4 linked regions of the Tamandua tetradactyla genome follow. The protein of the gene in region 2 interacts with the protein of the main gene of each other region in a biochemical or structural test. Links are inferred from orthologs where the notes say so. Each region holds a gene or a part of one and is shown on either strand. Other genes may lie near its edges.

What was found.
Region 1: the proteins of ERBIN (region 2) and ARVCF interact in a test that uses a peptide from one of them, tested with the Homo sapiens proteins (3 studies listed by BioGRID and IntAct, with this or other methods). The link is inferred for Tamandua tetradactyla from reciprocal best matches to the Homo sapiens genes ERBIN and ARVCF.
Region 3: the proteins of ERBIN (region 2) and MAPK12 interact in a test that uses a peptide from one of them, tested with the Homo sapiens proteins (2 studies listed by BioGRID and IntAct). The link is inferred for Tamandua tetradactyla from reciprocal best matches to the Homo sapiens genes ERBIN and MAPK12.
Region 4: the proteins of ERBIN (region 2) and ABCA1 interact in a test that uses a peptide from one of them, tested with the Homo sapiens proteins (2 studies listed by BioGRID and IntAct). The link is inferred for Tamandua tetradactyla from reciprocal best matches to the Homo sapiens genes ERBIN and ABCA1.

Annotation. Positions count from the first base shown.
Region 1 is NC_135331.1:28,345,652-28,353,498, reverse strand, and holds the start of ARVCF (splicing regulator ARVCF), read left to right. Parts: upstream 1-4,817; 5' UTR 4,818-4,897; coding exon 4,898-5,011; intron 5,012-5,577; coding exon 5,578-5,805; intron 5,806-7,847. UniProt on the Homo sapiens protein: Contributes to the regulation of alternative splicing of pre-mRNAs.
Region 2 is NC_135335.1:113,753,654-113,761,431, reverse strand, and holds the start of ERBIN (erbin), read right to left. Parts: upstream 3,229-7,778; 5' UTR 2,512-3,228; intron 1-2,511. UniProt on the Homo sapiens protein: Acts as an adapter for the receptor ERBB2, in epithelia. By binding the unphosphorylated 'Tyr-1248' of receptor ERBB2, it may contribute to stabilize this unphosphorylated state.
Region 3 is NC_135333.1:45,615,207-45,623,101, forward strand, and holds the start of MAPK12 (mitogen-activated protein kinase 12), read right to left. Parts: upstream 3,027-7,895; 5' UTR 2,878-3,026; coding exon 2,753-2,877; intron 2,681-2,752; coding exon 2,551-2,680; intron 520-2,550; coding exon 461-519; intron 1-460. Other genes in the region: MAPK11 (mitogen-activated protein kinase 11), read right to left, coding at 5,101-5,709, 5,821-5,994, 6,555-6,634, 6,854-6,925, 7,206-7,320, 7,391-7,438, 7,524-7,553, 7,683-7,794 and 1 more. UniProt on the Homo sapiens protein: Serine/threonine kinase which acts as an essential component of the MAP kinase signal transduction pathway.
Region 4 is NC_135328.1:23,873,518-23,881,273, forward strand, and holds the start of ABCA1 (phospholipid-transporting ATPase ABCA1), read right to left. Parts: upstream 3,279-7,756; 5' UTR 3,197-3,278; exon of another isoform or gene 2,760-3,196; intron 1-2,759. UniProt on the Homo sapiens protein: Catalyzes the translocation of specific phospholipids from the cytoplasmic to the extracellular/lumenal leaflet of membrane coupled to the hydrolysis of ATP.

The sequences.
Region 1 (7,847 bases), on a different chromosome or scaffold from region 2:
AGGGTGGGGGTGCTGCTGGGGGCCACAGGCCAGCCCACCCACCTCACCTCCCCAGTGGAATCTTGGGAGTCGCCTCCTCTGAACCCCCCCCCCCCCGAGTCATGGTCCTTGGTAGATGGAATTGGGGGATGCAGGAGATACCCCTGCACTGCTGGGACCCCACTGGCCCCACCCAGCCCTCATGTCCCCCCAGCGGCACCCTCCACACACCCACCTTGGTCAGACCCACGGCCCCCCCCACCTCCCTGAGCTCTCCCCACCCCAGCAGGAAAGCCCTCCGTCCCCAGCGGTGTTTCCTTCCACTCTTCCCTTTTGTGTGTGAGGGCGCATGACCATTTCCAGGCACCACGTCGCTAGTTTGTGACCTTTCCCTGCTTGGGTTTGGGGTCCTGGGACCTCCTTATTGCTCGACGAGGTCGCCGCTTCCTTTCAGGGGATCACTTCTGCTGGACGTTACGAATATTTGGATCCCAGTTTGCCAGATGGCTGTGCATTTTCTTTATGGCTTTTTCCCGCCAGTTTTGACGCGGAAACCACACACTGCGTGTGCCCTCCATATGTCCGGGGCCGTCCAGAAATTCCCAACTCTTCCAAAGCCAGAGCGGGCGCCCTTTCCTTGGCCCTCTCCTGCGCTGAGCAGTGGCAGGGAGTGACCCCTGGTACCTCTGCTCCCTGAGAACTGAGACACTGCACCCCCCCCCCCACCCCGGCTCTCCAGGCCTCTTCCCCTCACCCCCGGCCTGGCCCGGCCCTGGCCGTGACTTGCCCAGGTGCTCTTGTTAAAGCTCTGGCCTCAATCTGGCTGCAGAAGGGGTGACAGGGTGAAAGTGGGGGCGCTGGAGAAGCCAGCAGGCAGGCGGGGGAAGCGGGTTTGCACAGGCATCTCCCACGGAGTTGGGGGGGGGGGCCTGGCACTTCCAAGTCCTGCTGGCACCATTTGCTCCCCATTGAGTTGGGGTGCAGGGGCAAAGGGCATTGGTGGAGTGGGGGAGGCACCAGCTGGCCACGGGGTCCCCTGCCCTTCTCGGGGTCTGCCCGTCGCTGGAGAGAGGGGTCCGGCCTGCGGTCGCCTCCCGCCTGCCTCCCCCACCGCCAGCCTGACCCTAAGGAAATGCCTCTAATTCCTGAACCGAGTTTGGACTCAGGCCCCATAATTTGATTTTCCAGAGTGGGGTTTGGCGTGGTCTCCTCCCGGGGAGGAATGTCTCGGTCGGCAAGAAGATGTCAAAAGTCGGTTTCGGTTTCAGGGGAAGGATTGGTCTCCCCCTACCCACAAGTTGCTCTGTCCGTGTTCTCGCTTTTCCTGGTGGAGGTGGGAGCCGTGGGTGTACCCCAAGGGCTGGGGGCCCGGCCTGCCTCCCCCCAGGGCAGTGCCTCAGACCCTGGCCTTGCCCCCCTGCCTTCCCCACATCCATTCACCCGTCCACCAGCCAGCCCCCTCCCTCCCAGCCCCTCATTCTTTCTCCAACCTGCCTTTCACTCACTCATCTGTTCCCCCAGCCAGCCAGCCTCTCACCCACCTACTACCCTGTCCACCCACCCACCCATCCATCCATGCCTCTGTCAATGCATGCACCCTCTCATCTATCCACTTTTTCCCAACCCATCCATCTATACTCCCAACCATCCATCCATCCCTCCACCTATCTGTCCACCTGCCCACCCATCCACATTCCCCCAACCATCCATCCACCCATCCATTCACCCACCCATCCATCCACCATCCCCAAACATCCATATTTCCACAACCATCCATCCACCCATCCATTCACCCACCCATCCATCCACCATCCCCAAACATCCGTATTCCCACAACCATCCATCCATACACCAACCTATCCATTCACCCATCCACCCATCCATCCACTCACCCATCCATCCACCATCCCCATCCATCTACTTACCCACTTACCCTGTCCATCCACCCAACCATCCAACCATGCCTCCACCCACCCACACGCCCTCCCATCCATCCACATTCCCCCACCCATTCATTCCCCCACCCATCCATCCATCCATTCACCTACCCATCCACCCACCTACCTTGCCCATCCACCCACCCGTCCAACCATGCCCTCATCAATGTATACACCTTCCCATCCATCCACATCCCCCAAATCATGCATCCATATCCCCACCCATCCATTCATGCACATACCCAGCCATCCATCCATTCACCCACCCATCCACCTACTTTCCCACTTACCCTGTCCATCCACCCACCTACCCATCCAGTCATGCCCTTATCAACCTATATAGCCTCCCATCCATCCACATTCCCCCAACCATCCATCTATACCCCTCATCCATCTGCCCACCCACTCACTGATCCATGTACCCATCCATCTATCCACTGTCACCCATCCATCCATCACCCATCCACCCATCCACCCACCCACCCACCATTTACCCACCTACCCACCCATTCACCTATCCACCCACCTATCCACCCACCCACACATCCATTCACTCATGCAATCTTGCCTTCTAGCCTTCCACTTCTCTGTCCATCTGCCAATCATCCACCCATCATCTACATGTCTGTTCTCCCATTCTATCCCACCACTCATTCATCCACCCTCCTCTTGTCCAACCATCCACCCACTTGTCTGCCACCTGCTTATCTGGCCATCTGCCCTCCCACCCTCACCCCCGCCCCATCCTCCTGTCAGGCCGCAGGCCTCAGGCAGCCTACTCACCTCCTGTGCTCTTCTCCTGCTCCCTTGCCCAAAAGGGCTCAGAGTGGGTGGGCAGGAGGCTCTTGGCCCAGGGCTGGATGCCCAGTGGGAGCAGAATCTGGCTTGTTTCTGCAACTGGGTTATCATTTGTATTTTGGGGTTCTGTTTTTTTCAGGGCTTAACCCCAGCCCTGTCACTCCCAGCCCTGCCTCCCCCACCCCCACTTCAGCTTCCCATTCATGTTTTCTGGCTTGGACACTGGCCTGATGACATGGCCCTGGGGTAGGGTCATTCCTGGGCTGCCCATCACCCACTCCTAAACCTCATCAGGCCTCAAATTTCTCCTCATTCAGTGGGGAACTTTCACACTACACTCCCAAGCATACTGGTTTGGGGTTCACTGGGTCTGTAAGCAACAGAAAATCCCAGGTAAACAAAAGAGAAGTTTACTTGTCTCTAACCCCAAGAGGCCCAACGCTGGTGCTCCTCTGTGTCAGGCTGAGCCCACCCTCCTATCTTTCTGCTCCATAGCACAGGGCTTTGCTTTCGAGGTCTTCTCATGATCCAGCATGGCTGCCTGAACTCCAGCCATTTTACCTGCATTCCAGCCAGTGGGAAGGAGGAGGGGCAGCTCAATGGCATGCCCTTGCCCTCAGCCCTTCCATCCATCCGCAGAAAGGCCACAGGACTGGGTGCTGTGGTTGGATGCTGGGCTCTCGCATGGTGACCGCGTCCATCTCGGCAGCTGTCACTGCGTGTGGGGACAGGGAGGGTCTGCACCAGGAAGCCTTGTCTTAATGAGCCGAATCAACCACCAAAAGCAAACGTGGTTCAACCTGGCCAGTCCCATGCTGGGAGGGCCCTGACACCACTGGCCAGAGCAAAGGGCAAGGGTCTGTCCTACAGGGGGGGGACCCTTGTGACTGAGTGGCAGCCTCTGCTGGGAAGGCATCCCAGATGTCTTGCACCCATCTTAATTTACACTCGTTTTGCCAGCCACGCATCACATATTTGTTGTTTTGATACCAAAATAGCATTGGAGTTGCCATGAGAAAAAGCCACTGTGCTGGGGGAGTGGGCCTGGCCACCCCCACCCCGTGTCCCCCAGGGGCTGCTTGCTCCCAAAGCTGCTGCCAGTGGTCTCAGCCTCCCCACCCCATGGGTAGACTCGGGGGGGCCACCTTGAGGCTGTGGCAGCGGACATGGGGGTCTCTGGCCGTTCTGCAAGTGGCTGCCATGGCACCCTACCCCTGAGCTGGACCCTTCTTGCTGTGGCTGCACAATTCCAGGCCCCTGGCCAAGCCCCGGCAGACCGAGGGCCCCTGCTGCATATGCCTCTGGGATCCCCAGCAGGGCACAGCAGGGGGCTTGGCTGGGAGATTAGGTGAAGGCTGGGGGCTGTGGCCACACCTGGCTCTCCTGGGGACTGGGGAACAGGGAGGGTGATAGCATCAGGCCGGACGAGAATGCATGTCTCCCTGGCCCCCCAGGATGCTTACACTTTGGAAGGGGGGTGTCTGATGCAGTAAAGAATATCAGGTGGGCCTGGGTGGACCCCGGTGGCCTGACCTCTCCTGCCTGCCGCATGTGCACAGGGCCTCCTCTCCACCCTCGTGTGGTGCCTGCTCCGTGTGTCCTGTCACCCTGGGCCTCCCAGAGGCCCCATCTGGAGCTCTGCAGCCCCCGCCCAGGCTGTGGCATCCCTTCTTCGCCCTGTAGGAGTTGGGTTCCTTCTTGCGGCTGTGCCTGACTTAGCTGCTGCTTCCGGCAAGGTCACCACGGCAGTTATTGTTGTGTGACAGGTGCTGGGAAATGGGGCTGTGTCTGGGGCCCACGCCGGCCTCTTGCCCTCGCTGGGCCTCAGTTTCCCCAGCTGTCATAGTGGGGCTGGAGTCTGCACGGGTGCTGCTGGGGGCTGGGCTGGGAGACGGCCCCAGGCAGTACTGGGCACAGCACCACACAGACAGCACCCAGCTATGTGCCTCACCCCACCCCACCCCACCCTGGCCACTGCCCCCCCCCCCCCCCCCCCGCCTCCCCGGCATCCACAGCACTAATCGCTTCTCAGTGCTGAGCTCTGCATACTTGTGCCGGGCAGCCAGGGAGCGGGAGGGTGAGGAAAAGTGCTGGCGCGTTGCTGTAGCTGCCAGGACCGGCCACCCACTCTCCCCCTGCCCCCCGCCACACCCCCAGGGGCTGCAGAGCAGGGCGGGGCTAGAATGGGGAAAACTGGAACCTTGCTGTGTCCCGGCCCTCCAGCTGTCCTGCCGACCCGTCCTGAAGGCCAGGACACGCTACTTGGGGCCCTGCAAGGGGGCCACTGCCAAGCACAGGTATGCCAAGCCCCATGAAGCCCGGCTTGTAGTTGGTTTTCGCTGTGTCATGTGGAACAGACACACCACTCCCAGCCTGCCTGGCTGCAAAAGGAGGTCATGCTGCAGGGTCCCAGGCTCTCACCTTACCTGGCCGCACCTGTTCTGTCTGCACCCACTGTGCACCTGCGGGAGCCTCAGCAGCCGGCCCTGGGAGATAGGCTAGGGTGGCCTGTGAAACTGGGGTGAGTGCGCAGGCGCTGTGGGCAGAGGAGGGCTTAGGAGGCTGTGAGCACTCAGGCCTATGGCCTCTCTTGGCCCTTCCCGGGGAGGCTCCCAGATGCCTGGGGTGGTTCCACCAGTTCTGGCAGGAAGGGTAGAAGCTGAGGTCAAAGGCTGGTGCCCTGCAGGGAGTGAGTCTGTGCTTCCGGTCAGCCTGGATTGATGGCTCTTAATTGAAAATTTAATTAGTGCAGCTTCTCTCAAGAGAGCAGGAGGCTCAGATGCTTGGAGCAGTCATCAGTTCTCAGGGTGGGGGTAGGTAGGTGGCACTGCTCCCTCTGACCTCGCCCTTTCTTCGCCTACAGCCGGTGGGCACCCTAGTCATGGAGGACGGCAATGTGCACTCTGCAGCCAGCATCCTGGCCTCGGTGAAGGAGCAGGAGGCACGCTTCGAGCGGTTGACGCAGGCGCTGGAGCAGGAGCGGCGCCATGTGGCACTGCAGCTGGAGTGTACCCAGCCACCCAGTGTGGGCAGTGGAGGCGTGGGCGGCGGGCAGCCCCTGCCGATGGCCTGGCAAAAGCTAGTCCTGCAGGTAAAAGCCCAGTGTGCCTTGGGAAGGGGGGAAACGGCCAGGTGGAAAAATGATCACGGGGTCCTAGTGGACCACCAGCCAGCGTGCAATGGCTTATTGCAAGACCTGCTAATGCTTCAGGGGAAGCTAGGAAAGTTGGATCCCCAGGGGACTGGAAGTTCCATTTGTGTTTGTGGGATTGCATATGTGGGGCACTGTCCCTCAGAATAGCACCTTTTCCTTGCATGAGCTTCAGGTGCCTGGATAGGGCCTGTTCTAGGCAACTCAGTGGTCAGACACTGAGGCTTTTGCCTGTCCTGGAGTCTTTCTGCCATGTGGGCCTTGATGCACCTGTGGATCAGCCCCAGCGGAAGGCTCTGGCAGGCTCTGGGATCTGCCTGTAGCTCAGAGGATGACCTGGGAGCCTCAGTTTCCTCTACTGACCACTGCCCCCAGATCAGGCTCACGGCCCTGCTCATCTGGCATTTGGAGTGACTGTTACCGAGACATGAGGCCAAGGGGTTGTCTGGGTGGCACTGGCCCAGGAGCCAGGGTACGGGGAGGGTCCCTGGATGGGGTCCTGCCTCCCACTGTGGCTGTCCCACCTCACCACCCAGCAGTCTGCTGTGCCCATGCAGCTCCTTGCCGAGCACTCCGAGCAGCTCCCCAGCCGGCCCACAGTTTCCCTGCTCTGTTCCCTGGGCAGCAGGCAGCAGCATTGCCCCCACCCCCCAAAGCAGCTGGTCTTTTTCCTGTTTGGGCATGTGAGCCCTTCCCTGGCTCTGACGGCCCCCGACTCTGGCAGAAGGGTAGGCTGCCGGCTAGCCACGCCACACCTGGCCCAAACGCACTGGGGGCAGCTGGGGGCTAGCCTCAGTGCAGCCGGATGTGGGGGCTCAGAGCTTCGTGGGGGCACCTGGGCCTAGAGGGCCTTGATGGGCTGGGAGTGGGTCTCTGCACACTATGTCCACGTCAGCTGCCCAGCTCAGCCCGGTATGTGTTGGAGCTGATCCATGTCCACCAGTCTCCAGGGGACCCCCAGTGTTCTATCCCCAGCCCCTCCACTCTGGGAGGCCACTGGAGGAGCCACCCAGGCGGTCCACAGGAGGCTGGGGCTTGAACCAGGGTAGAACTAGTGGGGAAGGCTATACCCTCTGTGCCCCTAGACTCTCGGAACTCCAAAGCGTGAAGCATGCACCCCCAAACTTGGGCGGTGTGTATGAAGGAAGAACAGCCTGGCTGCGCCGTATGGGGTCAGTGGTGGCCAGTGACCCTGGGCCCGCCAATCAGGCGCCAGGATGCTCCATCTGGCCAGAAGCAGCTGCAGCCCACGGTCCTCAGATGGGCCACGTGGGAGGCTGGGACACTGCAGAGGAGAGGTTCCCACAGCTTGGGGCTGTGCCTCGTGACCTTGGGCCACGGCCCCACCCTGTCCGCTGGCCCTCCCCTCCCCTCCCTGCCTTGGGTTTCTGGCTCTTGGGAGGAGATGGTTTTCTCGGGCAGGGATTGGGGTGAGTGTGGGTTCCCAGGGCTCCAGCTGGACTGGCCGGGCTGATGGGGACACGGGGAGTGGGGAGGGGGGAACGGGGCCGGGGGTAGGCCCTGCAGCTGCAACAGCAAATCTGTTTCCCAGGTCAACCCCAGTAGAGGGTGCCTGGGGCTGGACCGTGGGGTCAGGGTCTGGGGTCTCAGACCCTCTGGGCTGGGGGTCAAGGCCAGAAAGCCAGGGGTGGAGGCTACAGCTGCTGCGCCACCCTGGGCTGCCCCCCGTCCTGGTTTCCTCCAGCGGGAAAGGCCCCCTTCTCCAGGTGGGAGGATGTACCTGGGGCTGGCCTTCGCCCAAGAGGGTGCAGAGGGACACTGTCCCATGGTGACGTCTGGAAGACGCTGGAAACAGATCATGCCATGTCATCAGGGTCTCCTTCCCTCAGGGCAGGGGGCCCGTCTTCTTGCTCCCTGTCCCACGTAGTGCCACATGGGGCTGCCAGGACAAAAGACACCAGAAGCCAGCAGTGGGGAAACCGAAGCTCAGGGGGCCATGGTGGGCACCCAAGGCATTTGAG
Region 2 (7,778 bases):
CTTAATGGGCAATGTGACTTTGAGCAAGTTATTTAATATCTCTAAGCCTTAGTTTCCTTGTTTGTAAAACAGAGATAAAAATAGTGCCTACTTCATCGGCATGATGTGAGAATCAAATGAGATAATAAAAATAAAGAACTTAGCACAGACTTGGTGCTTAGTCGATGCACAATAAATCATGAAATTACTATTAGTGCATTATTAGAGGACTTTACAAAGTCCTTTAATCAATCCAGTCTCATATGGTCTTTTATTATAATCATGTGAGGTATGAAAGATAAATATTATTATAGCCCTTTCAAAGATGAGGAAATGATGGCTTTTAAGAATTTGTCCAAGGTGGAATAGCTGCTGGATGGCAAGTCTTGGATATGCTTTTCACAATAAAATGTTTAATATTTAATTAACCATAACACTACCACACTGACTCAAAATAGGTTTTAGATAGCAAAAAAACTGATCTTCTAATCAGAAGATTTTTTTCATACATGAACATGGTAAATACTGCTAGTTACTGATTTTGGAAATACTATTATTCCTTGAAAACATCTACAAGTTTCTTCTGATAGCAGCAGCAGGAACTATTTCTAAATGCTTCCTATGTGCCAAACATAGTGTTAAATACTTTATAAATATCATGCCTTTTGATCCTCACAATAACCTTCTGTGATAGGTATTATATTCTTTTTACAGATAGTAGTAATAGCTAATATTTATGACCACTTAGTCTGTGCCAGACATTGTGCCAAGTATTTTACATGCATTATGTCATTTTCATCAGTCCAACAATCTTCTGAGATAAAGTAGCCAGTTTGCTAATTGAGGTAATATATAGGCAAATTTGATGTTAGACTTATAGAGCAGGAAGCTTTTTATTATATATTATCCTGTGTAATTATATAATTTAAAGGACCTTCTGGGATTACCATTCCAGGGCCAGTTCCATTAAAAATAGTCATTGAAGTTCAGATTGGAGAGAAAGTAGGTATTGAGACAAAGTTATACTCAAGGTCTGTTTATATAGTATAACATTGTGAATGTAATTAGCTGCATTGAAATATATATTTAAATGTGGTTAAAGGGGGGACATTTTAGGCAGTATATATGTTACTAGAATAAAAATTTTAAAAAAGCTATAGTACTATACAACATAAACAATGGACACTAATGTAAACCATGAGCCATAGTGAATTAATACAGTGACAATTATATTAATATTCTTTTGCCGACTGTAACAAATGTATCACATTGTGAACCCTAATGTAAACTATGGACTTTGCTTAATAATATAAATGTAAAATATTGGTTCATCAATTATACCAAATGTATCCCACGAATGCAAAATATTAATAATAGGGAAAACTGTGGGGGTGGGGCTGTGGTATATGGCAACTCTGTATTTTCTGCATGATTTTTCTGTAAACCTACAATTTCTGTAATTAAAAAAAAAAAGTGTTTGTGCATTCCTTTGATACTTTTTCCAGATACCCTACCCGTAATTTTCAAATAAGATATGCTGTGAAAACTTTAAACTTGTGGGAGCACTGGACTCGCCAGGGCCCGAGTAAAAAGAAATTCAGTTTCTCCACTGCCCATTTGAAGAATAAACTATTCTTCATACCCAGTAACACATCATAACTTTTCCAAAGATAAAAATGGTGATAGGGTCAAAGAAGTCTGTTGTTTCAGGGCGTTTGTTGCTATTAATAAAACAGTCCCTCTGCAGGAAGCATACACAGACAACTCACAAAAACAGGAAATCCACTCAGGAACCTGCCTTACAACTCCCAGTCTGAACTCCTGAAATTGCCCTACAGCCACAAGGAATGGACATCACAAATTAGAAGTCAAGGAGAAGGCGGCAGATTCTCTAGACTTTAACTCAGATAATAATGCATTTATTTACAATCCTGTGAAGCCTAATCTAGACAGTTTAGAATAGAACTTTTTAGACCAACCTCCTCGTTTTACAGCTAAAGTAACTTGCCTGCTCAGAAGTCATTTCCCTGTTTGGAACAGCCCATCTCATGGAATTTTCTTTAGGGAATTCTCCCTGACTCCTGGTCTATGGGGTAAGTAAGGAGAGGGCTGAGCTCACCTTCAGCTCCAGGGGTGGCCATGTGGCCAGGTGTGGCCAGAATCACATTAAAACTGTCACTGAATTGAGTTAGTGCAGAGGTTAGAAAAGTAAATCCAGAGTGGGCCACCGTGGCTCACTGGCAGAGTTCTCATCTGCCATGCTGGAGACCCGGGTTCGATTCCCGGTGCCTGCACGCGCAAAAAAAAAAAAAAGTAAATGCAAAATCACAGTTATTGCCAAAGCTAGGACTAAATCCCAAGTTCCCTGCTTCTCAACGCAACGCTCTTTCATACCACCATGCCACATAAACTATATAAATTAAAGAAAAAAATTCCTTGCTAACTCAAAAAGTATTTGTAGGTCCCATTTCGGTGTTAATAAGCCAGACTGTCTCAGGATCTATGCTGCTCCTTGCTTTGTACATTAAGTACCTGGAATATATCCCCGTATTTCCTTCTATTTCCTCAGTATTCTCTGAGGCCATTTAGAAAAACTGTCATGGAGAACCGTTTGTCGCGGCCTGTGGTGCCGAGAACCGTTTGTGTCGAGATGAATCCCAGTGCTTCCAACTACCCCATGGCTTCGCCGTATGTGGGGGAGCTGCACCCCGACGTTACTGAGGCGACGCTGTACGAGAAGCTCAGTACGGTAGGGCCCATGCTGTCCATTCGGGTCTGCGGGGACGTGGTCACCCGCCGTTCCTCGGGCCACGCGTGTGAACTTCCAGCCGTCGGGGGATGCGGCGCGTGCGCTGGAGACCAGGAATTCCGATGTTATAAAGGGGAAGCCGGTTCGCCTCCTGTGGGCTCAGCGTGACCCATCTCTTCGTAAAAGTGGGGTGGGTAACACATTCATTAAACACTTGGACAGATGTATTGATAACAAAGCGCTGTACGATATGTTTTCTGCTTTTGGCAACATCCTTTCGTGTAAGGTGGTTTGTGATGGAAATGGCTCCAAGGGCTATGGCTTTGTGCGTTTTGAGACACAGGAAGCCGCAGAGAAAGCTTTTGGGAAAATGAATGGGATGCTTCTGAATGATCGCGAAGTGTCTGTTGGGCGATTTAAGTCTGTTAAAGAGCGCGAAGCCGAAGTTGGAACTAGGGCGAAAGAGTTCACCAACGTTTACACCAAGAATTTTGGTGAAGAAGTGAATAGTGAGCACCTTAGGCTTCTCTTTGCCAAGTTTGGGCGTGTCGTAAGTGTGAAGGTAATGACTGATGAAAGTGGAAAATCCGAACGTTTTGGGTTTGTGAGCTTTGAGAGGCATGAAGATGCACAGAGAGCTGTGGATGAGATGAATGGAAAGGAGGTCAGTGGAAGACACATTCATGTTGGGCGCCCTCAGAAAGAAGTAGAATGGCAGACAGAACTTAAGTGTAGATTTGAGCAGATGAAGCAGGACAGGATCACCAGATACCAGGTTGTTAACCTTTATGTGAAAAGTCTTGATGACCGTATTGATGATGAGCGTCTCGGGAAAGAGTTTTCTCCGTTTGGTGCGATCACTAGTGCACAGGCCATGATGGACTGTGGTCGCAGCAAAGGGTTTGGTTTGTGTGTTTCTCCACCCCAGAAGAGGCCACTAAAGCGGTTTCCGAAATGAATGGTGGACTTGTGGCCACCAAGCCGTTGTATGTAGCTTTAGCTCTGTGCGAAGAAGAGTGCCAGGCCCTCCTCACGGACCAGCACACGCAGAGAATGGCAGCCGTGAGAGGCGCGCCCACCCGATGCTCCATCCCCGCCAGCCAGCACCACCCTCACGTTTCTTCATGGAGCCCTCGCGTTTCTTCATGGCGCCCACCCCGCGCCCCGTCCCTGCCGGCACTGCCCTCGCGTTTTTTCATGGCGCCCTCGCGTTTCTTCATGGCGCCCACCCCGCTCCCCGTCCCCGCCAGCACCGCCCTCGCGTTTCTTCATGGCGCTCACCCCGCGCCCCGTCCCAGCCAGCACCGCCCTCGCGTTTCTTCATGGCGCTCACCCCGCGCCCCGTCCCAGCCAGCACCGCCCTCGAGTTTCTTCATGGCGCCCACCCCGCTCCCCGTCCCCGCCAGCACCGCCCTCGCGTTTCTTCATGGCGCTCACCCCGCGCCCCGTCCCAGCCAGCACCGCCCTCGCGTTTCTTCATGGCGCCCACCCCGCGCCCCGTCCCCGCCAGCACCGCCCTCGCGTTTCTTCATGGCGCCCACCCCGTGCCCCATCCCTGCCAGCCAGCACCACCTTCACGTTTCTTCATGGCGCCCACCCCGCGCCCCGTCCCCGCCAGCACCGCCCTGGCGTTTCTTCATGGCGCCCACCCCGCGCTCGGTCCCCGCCAGCACCGCCCTCGCGTTTCTTCATGGCGCCCACCCCGCGCCCCGTCCCCGCCAGCACCGCCCTCGCGTTTCTTCATGGCGCCCACCCCGTGCCCCATCCCTGCCAGCCAGCACCACCTTCACGTTTCTTCATGGCGCCCACCCCGCGCCCCGTCCCCGCCAGCACCGCCCTCGCGTTTCTTCATGGCGCCCTCGCGTTTCTTCATGGCGCCCACCCCGCGCCCCGTCCCTGCCGGCACTGCCCTCGCGTTTTTTCATGGCGCCCTCGCGTTTCTTCATGGCGCCCACCCCGCTCCCCGTCCCCGCCAGCACCGCCCTCGCGTTTCTTCATGGCGCCCTGGCGTTTCTTCATGGCGCCCTTGCGTTTCTTCATGGCGCCCACCCCGCTCCCCGTCCCCGCCAGCACCGCCCTCGCGTTTCTTCATGGCGCTCACCCCGCGCCCCGTCCCAGCCAGCACCGCCCTCGCGTTTCTTCATGGCGCCCACCCCGCGCCCCGTCCCCGCCAGCACCACCTTCGCGTTTCTTCATGGTGCCCACCCCGCGCCCCGTCCCCGCCAGCACCGCCCTCGCGTTTCTTCATGGCGCCCACCCCGTGCCCCATCCCTGCCAGCCAGCACCACCTTCACGTTTCTTCATGGCGCCCACCCCGCGCCCCGTCCCCGCCAGCACCGCCCTGGCGTTTCTTCATGGCGCCCACCCCGTGCCCCATCCCTGCCAGCCAGCACCACCTTCACGTTTCTTCATGGCGCCCACCCCGCGCCCCGTCCCCGCCAGCACCGCCCTCGCGTTTCTTCATGGCGCCCTCGCGTTTCTTCATGGCGCCCTCGCGTTTCTTCATGGCGCCCACCCCGCAGCCCGTCCCCGCCAGCACCGCCCTCGCGTTTCTTCATGGCGCCCACCCCGCGGCCCGTCCCCGCCAGCACCGCCCTCGCGTTTCTTCATGGCGCCCTTGCGTTTCTTTATGGCGCCCACCCCGCGGCCCGTCCCTGCCAGCACCGCCCTCGCGTTTCTTCATGGTGCCCTTGCGTTTCTTCATGGCGCCCACCCCGCGGCCCGTCCCTGCCAGCACCGCCCTCGCGTTTCTTCATGGCGCCCACCCCACAGCCTCAGAACCGCGCCGCATACTACCCGCCTAATGCAGTTGCCCAGATAAGACCAAATCCTTGCTGGGCTGCTGGGGTGCCGGGCCTCATCTATTCCCAAGTACTTCTGGCGCTGTGTGCCCAGCCATTCCTCCACCACCATTTAGCGCCACGCGACCAGTTCCTCCACAGATCCCAGGAGTCCTCGCAACCCTACGTGCCGCCACTGCGGCAGTGCCTCCGATGTACCCGTACCCTGTGGCGGGGCTGCTGCTGCTGCACCTCCTCCGGCCATTCGCACGGTTCCACGTTACCGATATGAGGCGGGAGTTCGCAACCCGGAACATCTTCAAGCAACGCCACGAGTTACTGTGCAGCAACCTGCTATTCATGCTCAAGGTCAGGAACCTCTGACTGCTTCCAGGTTGGCATCTGCTCCTCCTCAACAGCAAAAGCAGATGTTGGGTGAAAGGCTCTTTATCCTTAGGGAAGCCATGCGTCCTGCCCTTGCTGGTGAGATTACTGGCATGTTGTTGGAGATTGATAATTCAGAGCTTCTTCACATGCTTGAGTCTCCAGAGACTGTGCTCAGGTTGATGAGGCTATAGCTATACTACAAGCCTACCAAGCTAAAGAGTCCCCAGAAAGGAGGTGACAGTACCACTGGTGTTCCCACCGATTAAAATTGGTCAGGGACCACGAAAAGTAACTTGTGCTTTCTTGAAAAGTACTTAAATGTTGTTGAAAAGTTTTAAGTTAAATATTGTTGAAAAAAACCTTTGCAAAATATAAAATAGATTTTAAAAGGACAGGAAACTTTGAACCTTCTGTAGTGAGTAAATGCCAGGTCTAGCAAACATAGTGCTGATCCTATATTACTTACTGATTTATTTAAAAAAGCACACACAAAAAAGAAAATATAAAAACAGATTCATGTTTTATAGACCATAGAAAAAAATAAGTTTTAGAATAGTACAAAAATTTAAAGCATTTCTTTCTTTAGCTTGGTGTAGTTCTTTACTGTGGAATAGCTTGGAATCTGTTTTAGATAATAGAATTGATAGATAACTGAGCAAGGAAATGTAATTTAGTTTGGTTTATAAAATTCTTGCTTTAAAAAAATTCCTTAAAGAGGGAAAAAGTCATTAAGTGAACATATTTGCTGTAACTTTGTAAGAGCACTGTATAGTTAATTGATTGTTCTACCTTTTAATATATTTAAAACAAACCCATGTACTACCCCAGAAAAACCAACAACTTCTGTAAGCCTGCTTCTAAAGAATTTTGTGTTAAAGCTGCATTTATATTATCTAAAATGTTTAATTATTTTAAAAAGTTGTGTGTTCATAAAATAGATTGCAATTATAATAGGGTAAATTCTGGTTAAAAAAGATTTTAAGTATCATATAGAAGTTAAGAGAATAAGATAATAAATTAACTAGTAAAATGAGTTCTCTGTTTAGAAAGAAACCACCTCCAGGTTGAAGCCATGCTTTACACATGTGAAATAAAAAAGAAAAATAGTAAAGGTCTTTTGTAGCCCTGACTTTAATAAGTATTAATTAAGCAGTTGGAGGTTTTAATTAAAAGGCTATAATCTTACCTGCAACTACTTGAAGGGTCAAAATATACTGTTTTTTAGGAGAGGAGGTTGCTAGATAATTAGTAGATAAATTAAGTGGAAGGGTTCCTGGTAAAGGTTGTTGACAGGTCTCAGGTATACCAGGCAATGGGAGGAGTTTGTATTACAATATTAACATCTAAGTTGCTGTTAACTTGGTGGGAGTTCATCTATGGCCTTAAGACCCAAAGACTTTCAATATAGATAAAGTTTTTCTTAGAGCTTAAAGGAAATAGAATTTTTGGTAGTGATTGATAAGCCTTGAGTTTGTTGAAGTAAGAACTTTTAAAATTGCACTTTGGTTTTCTTGAACTCTTGTTATGTAGTGTATTTTGATTTATCTTTAATAAATTTTGTTATTGAAGCCTAAAAAAAATTTATCATATGTCACTAAGATACCTCTATATATTCAGTCAATAAATAATTGTACTATAATTTATAGCCATCAGAAAAAGCAGGCCAGGAAAGAAATGGGAAGGAGTAAGTACCCCATCAGGCTTATACAAAATAAATGCATTTATACTTTTCTAAAACTCCAATTATTTTTGGACCAATTATCTATGTTTCAAATCATTCAGTCCCTTTGCTACTATCTCACAAAACCCTCCTGTTGTTTGTGTTTTGGCCATTAATCTCCTTAATTCTGCTAGGAGAGGGAGCTGTGAGACTCAAACCAGAC
Region 3 (7,895 bases), on a different chromosome or scaffold from region 2:
AGGGACCTGCCTGTACCCTGCCATCTGCTGCCCTCCCGAGCCCTCCTGGGCCCAGCCCTGGCTTGTGGCTGAGAGCCCTGGGGGAGCGGGCCAGGCAGACGGGGCCTCCCTGCTGCCCCCTCCCTGCCCACCAGAAAGGTCAGCAGCTCCAATTTCGGGCCAGGCTCTTGGCACCAGGGCCCTGAGCACGGGGCCTGCCTGTTAACACATGTGCTAGGCCAAGGCCCACACCATGGGTGCTGGGGAGTGCCTGGGTGCCAGCAGCCCTGGGAAGCCTGGCCAAGCTTTAGGGAGGCACTGGCAGAATGGATGGTGAGGGTGCATCAGGACTGCAGGGAGAGGGGGCTGGCAGCAGTCCCTGCCTTGAGCCAGGGTCCCTATCCAATCCAGCACCCCAAGTGATGCCAGGGGATTCCCCAACACCCCTCCAGCCCTGCCCAGCCCCTGGCTGGCCACGCACAAGTCTGTGAAGTCATCCAGGGTCTCATCAGGAGTAAACACATCCAGCAGGCCGATTACCTGGGGGAAGAGGGGTGGGCAGGGGGACTGAGGTGTGTGGACAGCAGGGGCTGTGGCGTGGTGCTCCCCAACCCAATCCCTTCCCCACCTCTACCCCGCTGGCACTGGCTCCAGGCCGGACCCCCCGCACTGTCCCTGTCTCCCCACACTGCCCACTCACCAAGCAGCCCCGGCCGGGACACACGTGCCCACAGCCTCGGGCTATTTCTGGATGGTGACAGCCGGGATGTGCGGGGGTGGGGGTGGGGGTGGGAAAGTCAAGTCTGGCTGGCTCCAGGCCAAGCACAACAGGGTCAGCCCTTGGTCCTGCCTCCCCTTCTTGCTCTGCCCATGGACACTGGGACCCAGGGTGGGGCAGCCCTCAGGTTGTGAGCACTGCAGTCCTTCCCCAGGCTGAGACCCACAGCCCGCCGGCCCCACGGGGCCCCTGGTTGGGGAGGCGATGGAAGACAGGTAACCTGGGGCCAGGGCGGCCTGCTCGTGAGGATGGTGCCTACCAAGGTTGCAGGGCAGGTGGGGTGCAGAGGCCCAGCGGGCCCTGGGGAGCCTGCCATGTGCTAGAGTAACACAGGGGAGGCAGGTGGCTGGGTCAGGAGCAGGGAGGACCTCCAGTCCAGGTAACCCTAAAAGTGGCCCTGGAAAGCCCTTAAGCAGGGGCGGGACCCTCACCACCTCCTCAGGCCACTGTGCAGGATAGACCACATGAGGCAGGTGTAGACAGTGACCCCGCAGCCGCCAGGTCCAGTGTGGGGGGGGGAGGGTGGAATGCTAGGTCTCTGGTGTGCTGGGGGCTGTCAGAAAGGGACCACCTCCAGTGCAGGAGTCCCAGAGGGGACTTTGAGACCGCTGGAGGCTGCAGACCTAGATGTGCAGCCATCGAGGGTTCCAGCTGAGGAGGGCCTGGGGGGAGGGGAGCCCAGAGCCCACAAAGGCCCCCTTGGTCCACACAGAGCAAGCAGCAGGGAGGGAGGGGGTTGTAGGCGAGTAGAACAGAGCAGGTGGGCTGCGCGGCTATGGGAAGGATGCCCTAGGGAGAGGGCCAGGTGCCCAAAGGGCTGGTGGGATTGCTGGCTCAGTGGATGGCATGTCCACTGTGCCGGCCTGGGAGGGGCCGAACGGAGAGTCCGAGTCGGGTCGGGAAGGGTGCTGGTGAAGCTGGCCAGGACAGGAGTTAGGGTGCCTCCTCCTCACCCAGCCCAGGGTTTCACGGACGGGGGGGGGGGGGGGGGGGAGGCAGCCCCCATGAAGATCACGTCCCAGATGTGGCTCAGGGCAGAGGCTGAGTGCCCCAGGGCACAGGGTGGAGACAGAAGTCCCAGAGAACAAGTATTTGGCTGGAGAGCGGGCAGTGGCCAGAACCAAGGGCCCAGGTGCACTGATGTACATAGCGACCAGCCAAAGCTCACAGTGCTCAGCTCTCAGCCCGGAACTTAAGGCAGGGGTGTGGGGGGGTTTCCCTGGGGAGTCCGGACCTGTCCACCCCCCACCCTGTCCATGAAACCCTGGACTGGGTGAGGAGGAGGCACCCCAACCCCTGCCCTGGCCAGCATCCTGGGCGCCCCTCCTGAGTGGGACCCCAGGCTCTGCAGGGGGCTGGGACAGGTGCAGTCCCACTTGGAGAAGGAGGAACTATGAGGCAGGCGGAACAGAGGGGCCTGGGGAGGCTGAAGGGAAGTCTGGGGGGCCCTTCCAGGAAAAGTGCTGTGCCCAACTCCTCTCACCACGGTTCCCGGAATGGAGGCAGGATTTGGGGGCAAACCTGGAAGGCCAACTGAGCCCAGACCCGTCACAGCGGCGGTGGCAGGGGGCTGCCGCGAAAGGGAATCCATGCAGGCTCTACCCCAAACAAGGAGGCCTAGGCGTGGGGGAAAACGGTGTACGCCAGAAAGGTCCCTAGTCTGCCAATGTCTCCTGGGCCCCCACCTACACCCACCCCACAGGAAGGCCGGGGGGAGGGCCGGCCTTCCCGCAGGCGGCACTCCGGGGGGCGGGGCGAGCTGGGCGGGGCCGGGTGCGACCCCCCCGACTCACGTTCTCGTGGCGCATGTGCTTGAGGAGGCGCAGCTCGCGGTAGGCGCGCTTGGCGAACAGCTCCGACTGGAAGGGCCGGTACAGCTTCTTGATGGCCACCCTGGCGCCGGTGCGGCTGTCCACGGCCGAGCTGCGGGGTGGGCGGCTCAGCCTCGGCCGGGCCTCTCGCCCCCGCCCCGCCCCGCGCCGCGCCCGCGCTCACCACACCGCGCCATAGGCGCCGGAGCCCACGGGCTGCAGGTCGCGGTACTCGGCGCGCACCTCCCACTCGGTCTTGGTCACCTCCTGGCGGTAAAAGCCCTTGCGGGTGGGCGGCGGGGAGGTCATCGCTGCCCGGACGCCGGGCGCCGCGCTCCCGGAACCGGGGCCCGGCGGCCCTCTGCTGTCCCCTTTGGGGTCGCCGCCCTCCGGGCTCCCGCACCGCCGACTCCGGCCCGACCCCTGCCCGGCTCCTGCCGCGCTGCCCCACCCCGGCCCGCGACCAACCCGCCCCGGGGCCCGGCGCACGTGACGGCCCGCCCTGCGGAAACCCGAGGCGATGGGGGATGGCCCAGCCCCGGCCCCGCGAGGAGGCGGCGCGGCGGGACACTCGGAAAGCCGCTGGCTCCGCACTGGGCTGGCGCCCCGGATGCCCGGGTCCCCAGGGGCCGCAGCGCTCTGGTCTCCTCTTTACTGCCCACACCCAGTGCGCCGCCGGGCCTATGCTGCCCAACTTCTGTCCCCAACTCCTGGTCACTGTCCTGAGCCTCCCAGACCCAGCCCCCTACCCCCACCCTGAATCTCCTGGCAGGGGGTCTCCACCGCACCCCCTAGGATGCCCTACCCCCAGGCGGGTCCACCCATCTGCGATTAGGTCTTGCCTGCAGCCCCCCTAACATATGCGGGATTGGTTCTGTCTCCCAGACTTCTCAGGTGGCCACCCCAGTGTCCATCCTTCAACCCCTGTCCCCAAGCCTCCCATCCCCCCTCGGCCCTTCTGCACCCTGGCTCCCACTCCTCCCTCCACCTCTTCCCCCATCCCAAGGCCACTGTTAGTCCCTTTGCCTGCTCCCCCCACACACACCTGCCCCCTGCTTGTCCTATCTGTCCAACCTGGCTTCTCTCCCTCCCTGAAGGCTTGCCCAAGCCCCAGGGGTGGGGGGCCTCTCAGGCCCTGACCTCTCAGTGTAGGCATAGTCCTGTCATGGGTCTGGGTGCTCCTGAGGATGGAGCCTGGGGGTCCCCTCAAAGCTGATTGGTGGTGGGTGGCAGGATCCCAAGTGCCCCCTTCCCTGCCTTTTGGGGCCCCGCCTGCCAACCGTGAATCAGCAGCTCAGCAGCCTTGGGCATGGCCAGACCAGCTTTACACCTGGCCTTGGGGTCGGTGACCCTGGCACATGCACAGCCAGCTGATGGCAAGAGCAGCCCACAGCCAGCCCAGCCAGGAGCATGGCACATGCCACCCACAAAGCCACCTGCACCCCATGCCCTGGGCTGAGTGGGGTACTCTGCCTCCAGGAAGCCCCCCTGGCTTACTCCCTGGGGTGGAGCCCAGGGTTCCAGCACTCATAGGGGCCCTTGCTCCTTCAGACCAGGGCCCCTTCCCCCGCCCCACCCCTACTGGCCTTGGCCAGCCATGTCTCTAGAGCTTCCCAGGTACCTAAAGCCCTGCAGCCTTGGTGCCTAGGCCTATAGGATCCTGCCTACAGCCCCCCAGGTGGGAGCTGCAAAAAGCAGTGGGAGTAGGCTCAGGTGAGAGTGGCCTGCAGAGTTCAAGGTTGAAAGCAGCCTTCTTTTCTCTACACCACCCCCACCCCCCGGAGTCTGCATTAGCCAGAAGGGAAAGGCCTGGCCCCCAGGAGAGGAAGCATTTGCCTCTAGCGGTGCCCCAGCTGTTCTCTCACCAGGCTGCATGACTGCCTGGTATCCTGTGGGCCAGGCCAGGGTGGGTGCAGCCCATGGTGAGCCCCCCAGAGGTGGAGACAGCAAAGGCAGGGGGCCTAGCATGTCGGACACTGGTGGGGCATGAGGGAAGCCCTTTATTGAGCGCCCCTGTGTACAGGCACTTCACATCCAGTCCCCCCTAGGTACCCCCAGGGTAGGAGGTTACCACCCAGTCTCCAGGCAGGGGCCTACCCACAGAGGATGCTCGGTCAGTTCTATTGTGGGAGGAGGGGGACAAGGCGACCCCAGAACCCCAGCTGAAGGGCCATGAGGGTAGGGGAGGTAGAGGGCCGGCAAGGCTTCTTCATCAGCTCTGTCCAAAGTCCATGGGCCGGGGCATTCATGTGAAGGTCACGTCCATGTGTGCACCTGTGTGCTCTGCCCAACCTGGTGGCTTGAGATTGCAGCACAGATACGGGCCCTCCCTTGCCTCAGCTCCTTGGCTGCAATGCTCCCTTGCTCAGCAATCTGCTGTGGTTCTATGCACCCACAAAGGAAAGCCCTGGCATCTGCTCAAGTGGGTGCCCTCGGCCCAAGGAGCCCTTCATGGGTACCCAGCATGTGGGGAGGTGCAGAGCAACCCAACTCTGGCCTCTTCCTGGTCATGGGCTCCTAGCACCCACAGATTCACATGTGCCCAGACAGCACAGGTGAACACACGGGCCCCAGCTTTTCTGACGTGAAGCCTGTAGTGTCCCAGCCTGGCCAGCCACCAGGGAAACCCTGCCCAGCCTGGGGGGCACAGGTGGTCTCAGCACTCCCGGGGCAGACCCCCTTTGGCCTGAGCAGCTCTGATCCCTGGAACCATCCCTTTGAGTCCAGGGGGTCCTGGCGAACTCCCACTGTACACAGAGAACAGGGCACAGACAGACACCAGCCTGGGGGGCAGCCCCATGGTATGCAAATCCCCCATTGTGAAATCCAGAGGGAGACCCAGATGGCTGGGGGCGGGGGTGAAGGACACGGGCACATACTTGTTGCCGACACATGTGTGTGCAGGACCCCCTGGGCACGGTGAGCAGGCAAGTAGGCCCCAGGCCAGGTATGTGGGCTGCTGGGCCAGGGCTGCAGGGTGGCACCCGTCACAGAGTCCCAGGATGAGCAGGGTGCAGGCTTAGGCCCCTCTAGCAGTGTGGAGGTGGCAGGTGGGCTCCCCTTACTGCTCAATCTCCAGGCTCTTGGGTGGCTGTGGGGGGTCTGGGGGTTTGAAGCTGAGGACTTCCTGGTAGGTGAGCTCTGGGGGGCAATGGGGAAAGGATCAGCACAGACGGCCCAGTCTAGGCCCAGTGCGGTGCCTGCTCCCCTCGCTGCCCAGCTCTGCCTGTCCCAGCCTCCACCCCTGCGCACCCTTCCACTCTTCCACTGAGCGCTCAGCAGCCTCCGCGCTCTCATCGTAGGGTTCGGCCTCAGGCTCATCCTCGGGGTCGTGGTACTGGCTGAAGTAGGCATGGGCCAGGGCCTCGGCCGCGCTGAGCCGCTGCTCACTGTCCAGCACCAGCATCCTTCCCAGGAGGTCCACAGCTGTGGGCCGCGGGAGGGTCAGCCCCGCCTCCGGCCAGTGGAGGGCCCCACCCAGTCCCGGTCCATCCTCACCCAGGGGGTTGGCTCCGTGGAAGAGGCTCCCGAGGTCCTTCTGGGGCATGGAGGGCAGGGACTGGATGTATGTCCGGGCCTGGGGGCACATGGGGGAGGGCCTGAGGGGACCACACACCCTCTACCGCAGGCCCCGGACAGAGCAGGGACTCCAGAGAAGACCCCAGACCCAGGCACTACCCAGCCCTGGCTGGCACAGGGGCAGCCAGAGACCTGCCCCTTAACCCCTCTGACCGTAGCCCCTCACCTAACCCTCCTGTCCCCTCCTCCACCCCACTGCCCCTGGCCAAACCACTGCTACCAGTGTCAGGACTGTGCCCTCGCTGTGTCCCCTGCCCTGCCGTATCCCTTAAAGGGGCAGGGCACCTGCCTTGGCTCCTCTGGCAGTGCCCTGCACTCCCCATACAGAGCCTGCTTCCCATGGTGTCCCCCAGAGTGCCCGGGGCCTTAGTCCGCAGAGGGCGGGGGGGGAGGGGGCACCCACTCACGTGTTCCGAGGATATCTTGGCCAGAACCTCGGGGCTGGGGGTCCCCACCACCTCCATGATGCGTTTTAGCTGGTCGATGTCTGCCTCGGCTCAGGAAACACCCACTGGCCAGCAGGGGCCTGCCCAAGCCCCCCAGGGCAGAAGCCATGGGTGCTGCCCAGAGCCTGCTCCTCTCCCCGGCCAATGAGCCAGGGGGAACAGCCAGACAGGGAGGGCCTGAGACTGCCTGTCGCCCTGCCCACCCACAACTGGGAGGTCCTGGCTCCAACACCCCCCAACCCCTGCGGGGCCAAGGATACAGTCGTTTCCTGGAAAGAGGGCCTTTCCCTGCAGCAGCTCGGCCATGATGCAGCCCACCGACCAGATGTCGACTGTGGGGGTCAGGGCACAGGCTGCCATCAGTCTTGGCCCCCCTCCTCCCGGGGCGGCAGCCCGGTGACCCTCACCCACAATGGGGCTCAACCTGGTGTGGGAAGGCCCACTGGAGCCTCCCCCCTCAACGCAGAGGGCCCCCTGTAGGTCTGTTTGTGCATGCTGACCCCAGCCCTGCCTCACCCCATCACCGGGAAGGACCCCCTGGGGTGCATGGCCACCCTCCCCAGGCCATGGCCCCCACAGGACATGGATGCCCCACGCAGGCCCCACGGCCACCTGTCTGGTTGTAGTGCATCCAGTTGAGCATGATTTCTGGGGCCCGGTACCAGCGCGTGGCCACATAGCCAGTCATCTCCTCATCCGCCTGGCGGGCGAGCCCGAAGTCCAGGATCTGGGCAGGCCACAGGGACGGTTCAGCACCTGCCCTCCTCACCCGCCCCGCCCGCACACACGCCCCTCACCCTGAGCTCGCAGTCCTCGTTCACCGCCACGTTGCTGGGCTTCAGGTCCTGCATGGAGGTACGGCTATGAGGCAAGCCGAGCACGGGGTCCACGCCGACCGGACCAGGGCCCAGAGCTGCACCCCACACCTACCCGATGGATGATGCCGGCCGAGTGGATGTACTGCGGGGAGGGGGGAAATCACGACTGCGTCGACCTCCCCGGGCGGACCGCGGCCCAACCCCGTCCCATACACCCCCGCTCCGCAGGGGCCCCGCGCCCCAGGGCCGCACACCAGCACCCCGGCGGCACCTTAAGCCCGCGCAGCAGCTGGTACACGAGGAACTGCACGTGCTCGTCACTCAGTGCCTGACACTTGACGATGTTGTTCAGGTCGGCGCCCATCAGGGTGGTCACCAGGTACCTGGCGGGGGATCAGGGGTTGGGGGTCAGGGGAGAGCCCCGCCCCGACGCCGCCCCGCCCCGAGCCACCTCCCTACAGCTCACACTTCGCTGAAGTCTTCG
Region 4 (7,756 bases), on a different chromosome or scaffold from region 2:
GCCTTGGTTCAGACCTTAGTTTTGTCACTTGCAAGGCACGTAACCAGAGACAAGGTAGTCACACCCTCAGTGCCTTAATCTGTAAAATGGGAATAAGTGAATTCCCATACTTGGCCCACAGTGCTATATAAGCATCTATTAAATTGAAAATGGCAGTAACTTCAGCATTTATGTTTATTTCCATAGGCAGAGATGAAAATGATCTCAGTTTTTAGTTTAGGACTTCTCCCATCATGGTTAAATAAAATGAGTGTTCAGAAAGCTCTTTTAAGAATTGATGCTGGAGTAATTGGCCATCAGAAGCATTACACTTCCTTACTTCTTTAATATCTAGAAGGTAAATTAAAATGCATCTGGATTTATGAGTATTTTAGAAAGACAAAACACACCTACCCATTGGTATTTTCTAGATATCCAAAAGGTTCACAATTAAAAAGAACCTAGGACAATGTCCCTTCAATTATTTTAAGAGCTAAAAATTGAAACAGCAAAGATATTAACGATTCGCTATCGCTAGGAAAGTAGCACAGCCTGGGAGGATTCCTAAAAAAAAGAAAATTAAGTGGAGAGATATTTTAACTCCTCTCCATAAAAGGTAAGTACTACCGAAGATAATAAAAAAGCTGAGTAGCAGAGTTTCATTCATTTTCATTCATTTTTAATAAAGTTTGCACTCGGACTTCCTTGAGCAAAGACTGAACACAGCAATCCTTTTCCAGTTCTAGACTAATGCGCTGTCCCACATAAACTATAAATATGCTTTAAGTCAAAATGTGTTGAGGGTCCATTACCAGCCTGCACTTAGATGTAAATTGAAACACTTATAAAGACTGAGATTTCAAATGCTCATCTGCAGGTGAGCCACTCAGATCTCAGACCTGGTCACACCAAGATACGTCATCTGGTCCCTTAAACTGACATGGTCATGATGAAAGCTGGAGACCCTTTTCCCTAGTCCTGATTCTACTGCTTGTTCTCTAATAAATACCAATTTGCTCTGTATAGCCGACATTTTCCCAAAAACCCTATCATGAATTATTTAGATGGTTTTATGGGAAAACTTAGGAAACAGACTGACAACGGAAACTTTATGCTTGAAATTTATTACACTCCACCCCTGACACACACAACCAAAAGAGGTTCTACACATGTGCTCACCCTTACTTTGATTGAGAAGTTTCTCAAGAGAGTCATATGAACCACCGAAAGCCTCCATCATTTTTGGAGTAGGTGTAAGAAACATAGGATGAAATAAAAGAATAAATGAAATGAGATATTAAGTGCCTTTATTAGTTGGCATTTAAGTTTTGTTTGAAAAGCAGATCAAAACTTAGGTTTGGGTCCCAAATTATTGTTAAAAGAACCAGTAAAATCCCTGTTTCTGAACTTAGGAACACTTTTTTTTTCCATTAATTTCATTTACACTCTATATCCACCCAATACCCATTCCTTGGAGAAATTTTTGTGTTGTGCCTTGCGAGGTGTGGGGGGGATGGGCAAAAGAGGTAGTGACTCTGTTTTTCATCACCAAAGAAGTTTTTTTTAATATCACATTTGTCTTCTATTATATGATTGCAAGTTTCACCCACTCACTTTGTGAGGTGTCCTTGGAAAGTCTTACTGGGTTTTAAAAGTTGCGGTATCACTGCTGCAAAAAAGGACACATTACTTTCAGAACCACTTTGCTCTTTCCCGTTCGTCCTTCCTTTTTTCTTTCTTTCAAGATCTATTTTATTTCAATCTTTCTGATAAGTGTTGAGTAAAACAGACCCCTACACACAACCCTGGCACTAGCCGACGCCCTAGGAACACTCTTTGATTTAGCACCGTTCTGAGAGTCGGGAAACACGCGAACGAAAAACAATCAGACCGGCTCTAACCCGAAACCCCTGGGTTTTCTCCCAGTTCCATCCTCACAGGATCCTGGTGGGAACCGCCGGGCGTACTCCGGCCACGAGGCCGATTCCCAGGCCGCCCGGCCAGGAGACGCTGCGGGCCAGTCCCCCGGGACCGCCCGCCGCCCGCGCCACCACCCCCGCCGCCGAGTTCCGCGCCGCCGGCAGGGGTTACTCTCGGTCATTCTGCTGCACAGTCTTACCCCAGCTTCCCCATTCGTGCCGGGCCTGAGGCTGCCCCAAGAGACGAGCAGTAAAGGGCTAGAAGATTGGAGGGGCGTGAGGAACGGGCACCCCAGCTCCGGGTTTCCGCAGGCTCCCCTTCGCTTTATGTCTTTTTTTCTTCTTCTTCTTCTTCTTCTTCTTTTTTTCTCAAAGGAACAAAACCCGTCCCCCCGCTGCACTAGGGACACCAGCTCGGGTGCGCGCACAGGAATTGTAAGCAGGACCCCGAGGCCAAAACAAAGACCCTGCAGCCTCAAGCCATCAACTGCGCAAGATATCCCGTTCAGGACACCTCCGGCTCGAGTTCTTGGAGAACAAGGACATGCTACTCCAGTCTGGGGACGCACAGAGACGATCCCCTAGTCAGAGTCCAACTCAGACCAGCTTCTCAAGGATGCGGCCAGGAACTAAGAGCTGGCATTTGTCCCGGTGGGCGCGGGTCGACCCGCAGCCAGAGGGGTTTCCAGCACGCTCGGGAGCTCCGGAACAAAGGGAAGGTTTTGTGCCGGACCTGCCACTCTCCCCACCCCTGCAGCGGCGCCCCAGCACGCGCAGGAGCCCCCTAACTCCCTGCGCCCGAAGCATTGCGCTCCGGCTCTCCACGCCCAAAGATGCTCGGCTTACTCCGCGGACCCGCGAGCCCCGAGCGTAGCAGCGACGCATTCAAGGATCTCTAATCGTAGGAAGTCCCCTTCCCGTTTACGCCAGCCCCCACCCCATTTGCGTTGCAAGGGATAGGGGGATCAAGGGATACCGGCCCGAGTCTCGGAAACCCGGCACTTCCCAAAGCCTCCTCGGCCGGGGAAACAAAACAAAACAATTACGCCCTAGTCACGGGAGAGGCTCTTACCTGGTTTCCACTTTTCTGTCTGCGACTTTTTCCCCCACCCTTTGGCAAACCCTTCTGGGGGAGGGGACGTGTAGAAGAACAAAAACAAGCAGCAAACCGCCCTGCGAAATTGGCTCGAGCGGCGAGGGTCCTGCGACACCCCCCGCCCCGGCCACCCGCGCTGAGGTTGAGATGTATCGGCTCGGTACGGCAGGTCGCGGCCCCACTCACTCTCCCTCGGAATTACCGGGGTTTTGCCGCGACTAGTTCCTTTTATAGATTCGGCAGAGCTGAGCGCAGGGGTTACTATCGGTCAAAGCCTGTTCTCTCCCTCCTCCCCGCCCCCTTCCCGGACTCTGTTTATGTAGTTCAGTCACTCAGCACAAAGCACGTGGAGCCGCGGTCCGCCCCTTAAACAGGCGCGGTCCTTCGGATCCGGACAGGGCCGGGGTTGGGAAAGGGGTGCCGGCAGCTCCAGAACCAGGGTTCGTGTCCCCAGCCCCCGCCCCGGTCTGCCAGCCCAGAGCAAAAGCGGGAAAAGCGGGGCCTGGAGCTGCGCCCGAGATTCCAGTCCACGTTCTGGGCAGACAACAGCACTGGTGGAAATCGCTTCCTCTAAACTTGCGTTGCCCGCAATTTTTTTTTCTCTTCCCTTTGTTAGTTTACTACTCAGTCGGAGGGATTGTGGGAGAGAGGGCAAGAGGCTGAAACCCAGCAGGAAGCCAACACTGTGGTCTTTCTTTCCTTCCCGAGGCCCGGGGTGGAGCGGACGGGGTTTGGGGCAGGAAGGTGGCCAGCCCTGAGGACCTGGCCAGCCCTGGGGACTGCTGCTTTGGTTTTCCATCTCAAATCTTGACTTCGGCATTCTGCATTCGATAGACGACCCGTTCACTGTCTTTGAGAGCCTCGCCCTGGCTCCCCGGGTCCCTGGCAAGAGCCAGTAAAGAGCCCTTTGCACTGTCTATTGGTAACTGAAAGGAAAGGAGATGTGTGAAACCGGGAACAACGTGGGCCAGCCCCGTTTTTATTTTCCTGGTATTGGTAAAGTCCCTGTGATAAATCCATGGGGCTTAGGTTTCAGCTAGTTTAGATTTGGTGAGTGCAGCTAGAGAATCAGTCCTGTAAAATTATATAGTTACTCCAGGAGCAAGAGGTCAGTGGATACAAAGGGACCCCACATGCCTTATGTCTCAAGTCAAGTCATAAATCAAGTCAGCAAGTTGTAAAATAAATATCTTCTCTTCCTACCCAGAAACGTCTTCTCTGCACATAGGTAGACAAGACACCCCCCTTCCAGGAGCCCCAGAGGTTGATGGGCAGGAACATACATCAGGGGTTTTGTCACATTCAGGACAGCCCAGTGAAGAGGACCTCGCGGGCATGGAGGTATAATTGGGGGGCCTTACGGCATGGAATTCTGGGGTCCCAGATACTCAGAACTCCAGATGGCATGGCCTCAGGGCCGTGTGGAGGAAGAAGGGATGCAGTTTGAGGAAGACCAGAGCCTTGTATTCTTCTAGCCCCAGGGCCCAGGACAACTGCCCCTCCTGCCCTGGTCCAGCCCTGGTCCAGAGACTGGACTCTGGGGTTAAATTTGTCTGAACCATATGGCCAGCTGCTTAGGTAATGAATTTTGCCTCCATTTCTTCATCTTGAAAATGGAGAGAAGGTGCACGTACTCTGCCCCACAGAGTGTTCTGAAGATGAGTTTTATGGAAACCTTGGAGCTGCTTGAAAAAATGGCACTGTAAACCCAGAAGGTGTTATTAGCTGACTGTTACTGTCATTTCAGGTACCAGCCATAGTCTTTAAAGTTTTTCCCACACCAAACTTAAAACTCCAGGGCTAGCCAAAAGTTAAGAGGAATCTGCCTGACCGTCTATATAGAGGAAGGCTCCTATCATGATTTTAGGGTGACTTTAGGATATGATTAAGTCTCTGTGTACTGCACCCACCCCCACTTCTACTTCCACCTCCTATCTCCTTTGCCCCCACCCACATCTATCACAGTGCTTAAAATCCTACCACCAAAATCATTCTTTTGGGATTTTGAAGGCTCTGGCTCCTAAGAGAACCCTAATAAGGTCATATGTTTGTTGTTATGACCTCATATGTAATGGAGAAAGGGTTACAGTAAATCCCATGGGATACTGGGAGAAAGAAGGTGAGCCGAACAGAAAGGAGACAGCTATTAATTCCAAATACCTAAGTCTATGGCCTCAGAAGAGACCAAGCCTTCAAAGAAAGGAAGGAATTTGGCCAGGTTACATGCGGACAGATGTCTCCTGACCCCAAACCCACACTTTCCAAGTGCAACAGCTTCATATGACAAGAGTACTACATTCCAAACATGAAAGCCTTGGAGAATGTGCCACTTGAGAAAGAGGTTTTCAGGTGTGCGTTCTCTCCCCTCCAATCCTGGAAGGTCATCGGCTGATTTGCTCCTGAGCATACTGAACTGAGTTTTCCTCCAAGTCTGTCAGTTCCCACTGACACCAACACCCATCACTGAAGCCTCACTTTAGGTGACCCTTCCCAAATGAGAAGGAAAGCCCTTCCTCCTTGCCTTTTCTCTAAAGAAGTTGATTCCATAATTGTAGCCTAGGTGGCTTGAGATTCTATTCTGAGACAACCGTGGCATCTTCTAATTACAGAATCAACCTTCGGGCAGCTGTGGCCTTGAAGACCCTACTGGAGGTCATGGAGTTGCAGAGAAGCTTCATGGAGATGTTTAAGTTAGGGATTCCGTAAAAGGCTTTGCTTGGAGGTTGCTTTGATAAATGACATCTGTTAATTTGTTTGTGTAAATGTACATATGCACATTGTTTAAAATATAAATAATTTGCAGTATGCCTGTGTTTTCTGGTTGTTATGTACACTGTTTGGTTCCTGGAAACTGAAAAACAATAGAGTATTACAGGAAAATGATGAAGAATAAAGAAGAAAGTATTCTAAAAATAACCTTTCAAGCTGAATTTGAAGACCTAATATCTGGAATCTTGGAGAATTCCTGGAGAATGAGAGATATCTCAAAAAAAAATTTTTAATAAAAGAAGGTAGTTCAACTTTCATATATAAAGAAGAATAAAAGGATCTACAGTTCATATTTGGGTCAGCTTAATTCCAGTGCATGGTTAGGCACAGAAGCAATTCATCAATCAATATTCAAATAAAAACACACACCATTACTTGTAGAATAGGTCATGCACAGCAAAAGCCCCCAATACCTGCAATTCAATTCCGTTTAACTGGACCTATGCAATCCCCTTCTGTACTAAGGTGACTCCTACTGACATGAAAGCAATAGATTGAAAGCAATTACCACTTTTAGATTTGGGTAAGATGTTCTGCTTGTCACTGGCATGAACAAGTTAGCCTGGGTCATAGACAGATCTAGTCCCCTGAATTACTAGTGGGTCAGTGACTTATAATTCTTTTTAAAAGCCACCCTCCCAATCTACTTCTTTTCAAGCTCTCCTTCTTTAGGAGACAAACTGCTTGAAAGATTTAACCCCTGCTTACTCCATCTCATTCACTCCCCAGTCCATTGCAATCAAATTCGTGCCCCCACCACGCTCAGTCTGTTTTGTCCAAATTCATTAATGACGTCCTTTTAAAATAAAAAAAGAAAGAAACAGAGAAAGCATGCACAAGAAAGAGAGAGAGAGAGAGAATGAGAGAAAGAAAGAATGAGAGAAAGGGAAGGATAGAAAGAAAGGAAAAAAAGATGTTTATGTGTTTAATCTTTTAAATTAAAAATCTTTTTTAATTTTTTTTACTTTGTAGTTTACAAATACATAAAACAGGTATGTTTAAATTTAAGTTACATATTTATTAAGGTAAGGAACTATATAGAAAAAAAACATTTGTCCTTAAAGACATACTAAGGAATAAACTGTTGTACAAATTATTGCACGTGTGAAATATCTTTTAAATGTAGAAAAATACAGAGAAAAGTGATCTCTGGTATTTGATGGAATTGGCCCCACCTTCCTTCTTGAAACTAGTTCTTCTCTTATATTTCATGAATCTGATTCTCCTGCCTCTTTAATGCTCTTTTCTTGACTCTTCTTTTACTGTGTATTTCCTGATATTGGTTTCTCTTCACATTTCTACACGCTGTCCCCATTACTCCACCCTCATCCCCGTCCCCAACAATATTAGCTGCTCTCTTGGAGCCATTTAAAACCTGTGTTTCCAGCCCTCCATTCTTGTGGAGCTCCAGAATTGTTCTTCCTAACACGTGGAGGTGGCTCCAGCAGGACCCAGCCGTGTGCCGGAGCTGGCCCCAACCAGTTCAGGAGAACTGATTGTACAGATCTCTTCCTAAATCTGCAGTAGGTGACCTAGACCTGGCTAGCTTGAAATCGCCAAGGAAACCCATAAGCACTACAAATCAGGGACTGTCCTTATTTTTGAAAGCCAGTTGTTAACATTTACCAGCACACCAATGAGCAGGACATTCTGCAAATAAATCCAAAACCAAGTATCTTACCTTCCTCTTACATCTCCCCCCCCCCACCCTTTATTTCTTATATCAGTTAATGATATCATCGTCCACTCAAAGACTATGGGAAGTTATCCTTGCTTAACTATTTCACCTCACTGTCACCGTCTTTCTTCTCGCATCTTAAAAAGCACCAAAGTCAAGTCAATTGTACCTCCCAAAAGCTCTTAAATCTGTCCCTTCTCCATCCCTACTGCCTTAGTCCAGGCTGAGACATCTGGGCTTCTATGCTGCAGTAACCTCCAACAGCTGTCCCTGACTCTAGTTTGTCCCTCTTTCTATTCATCTTCTCCATTGAAG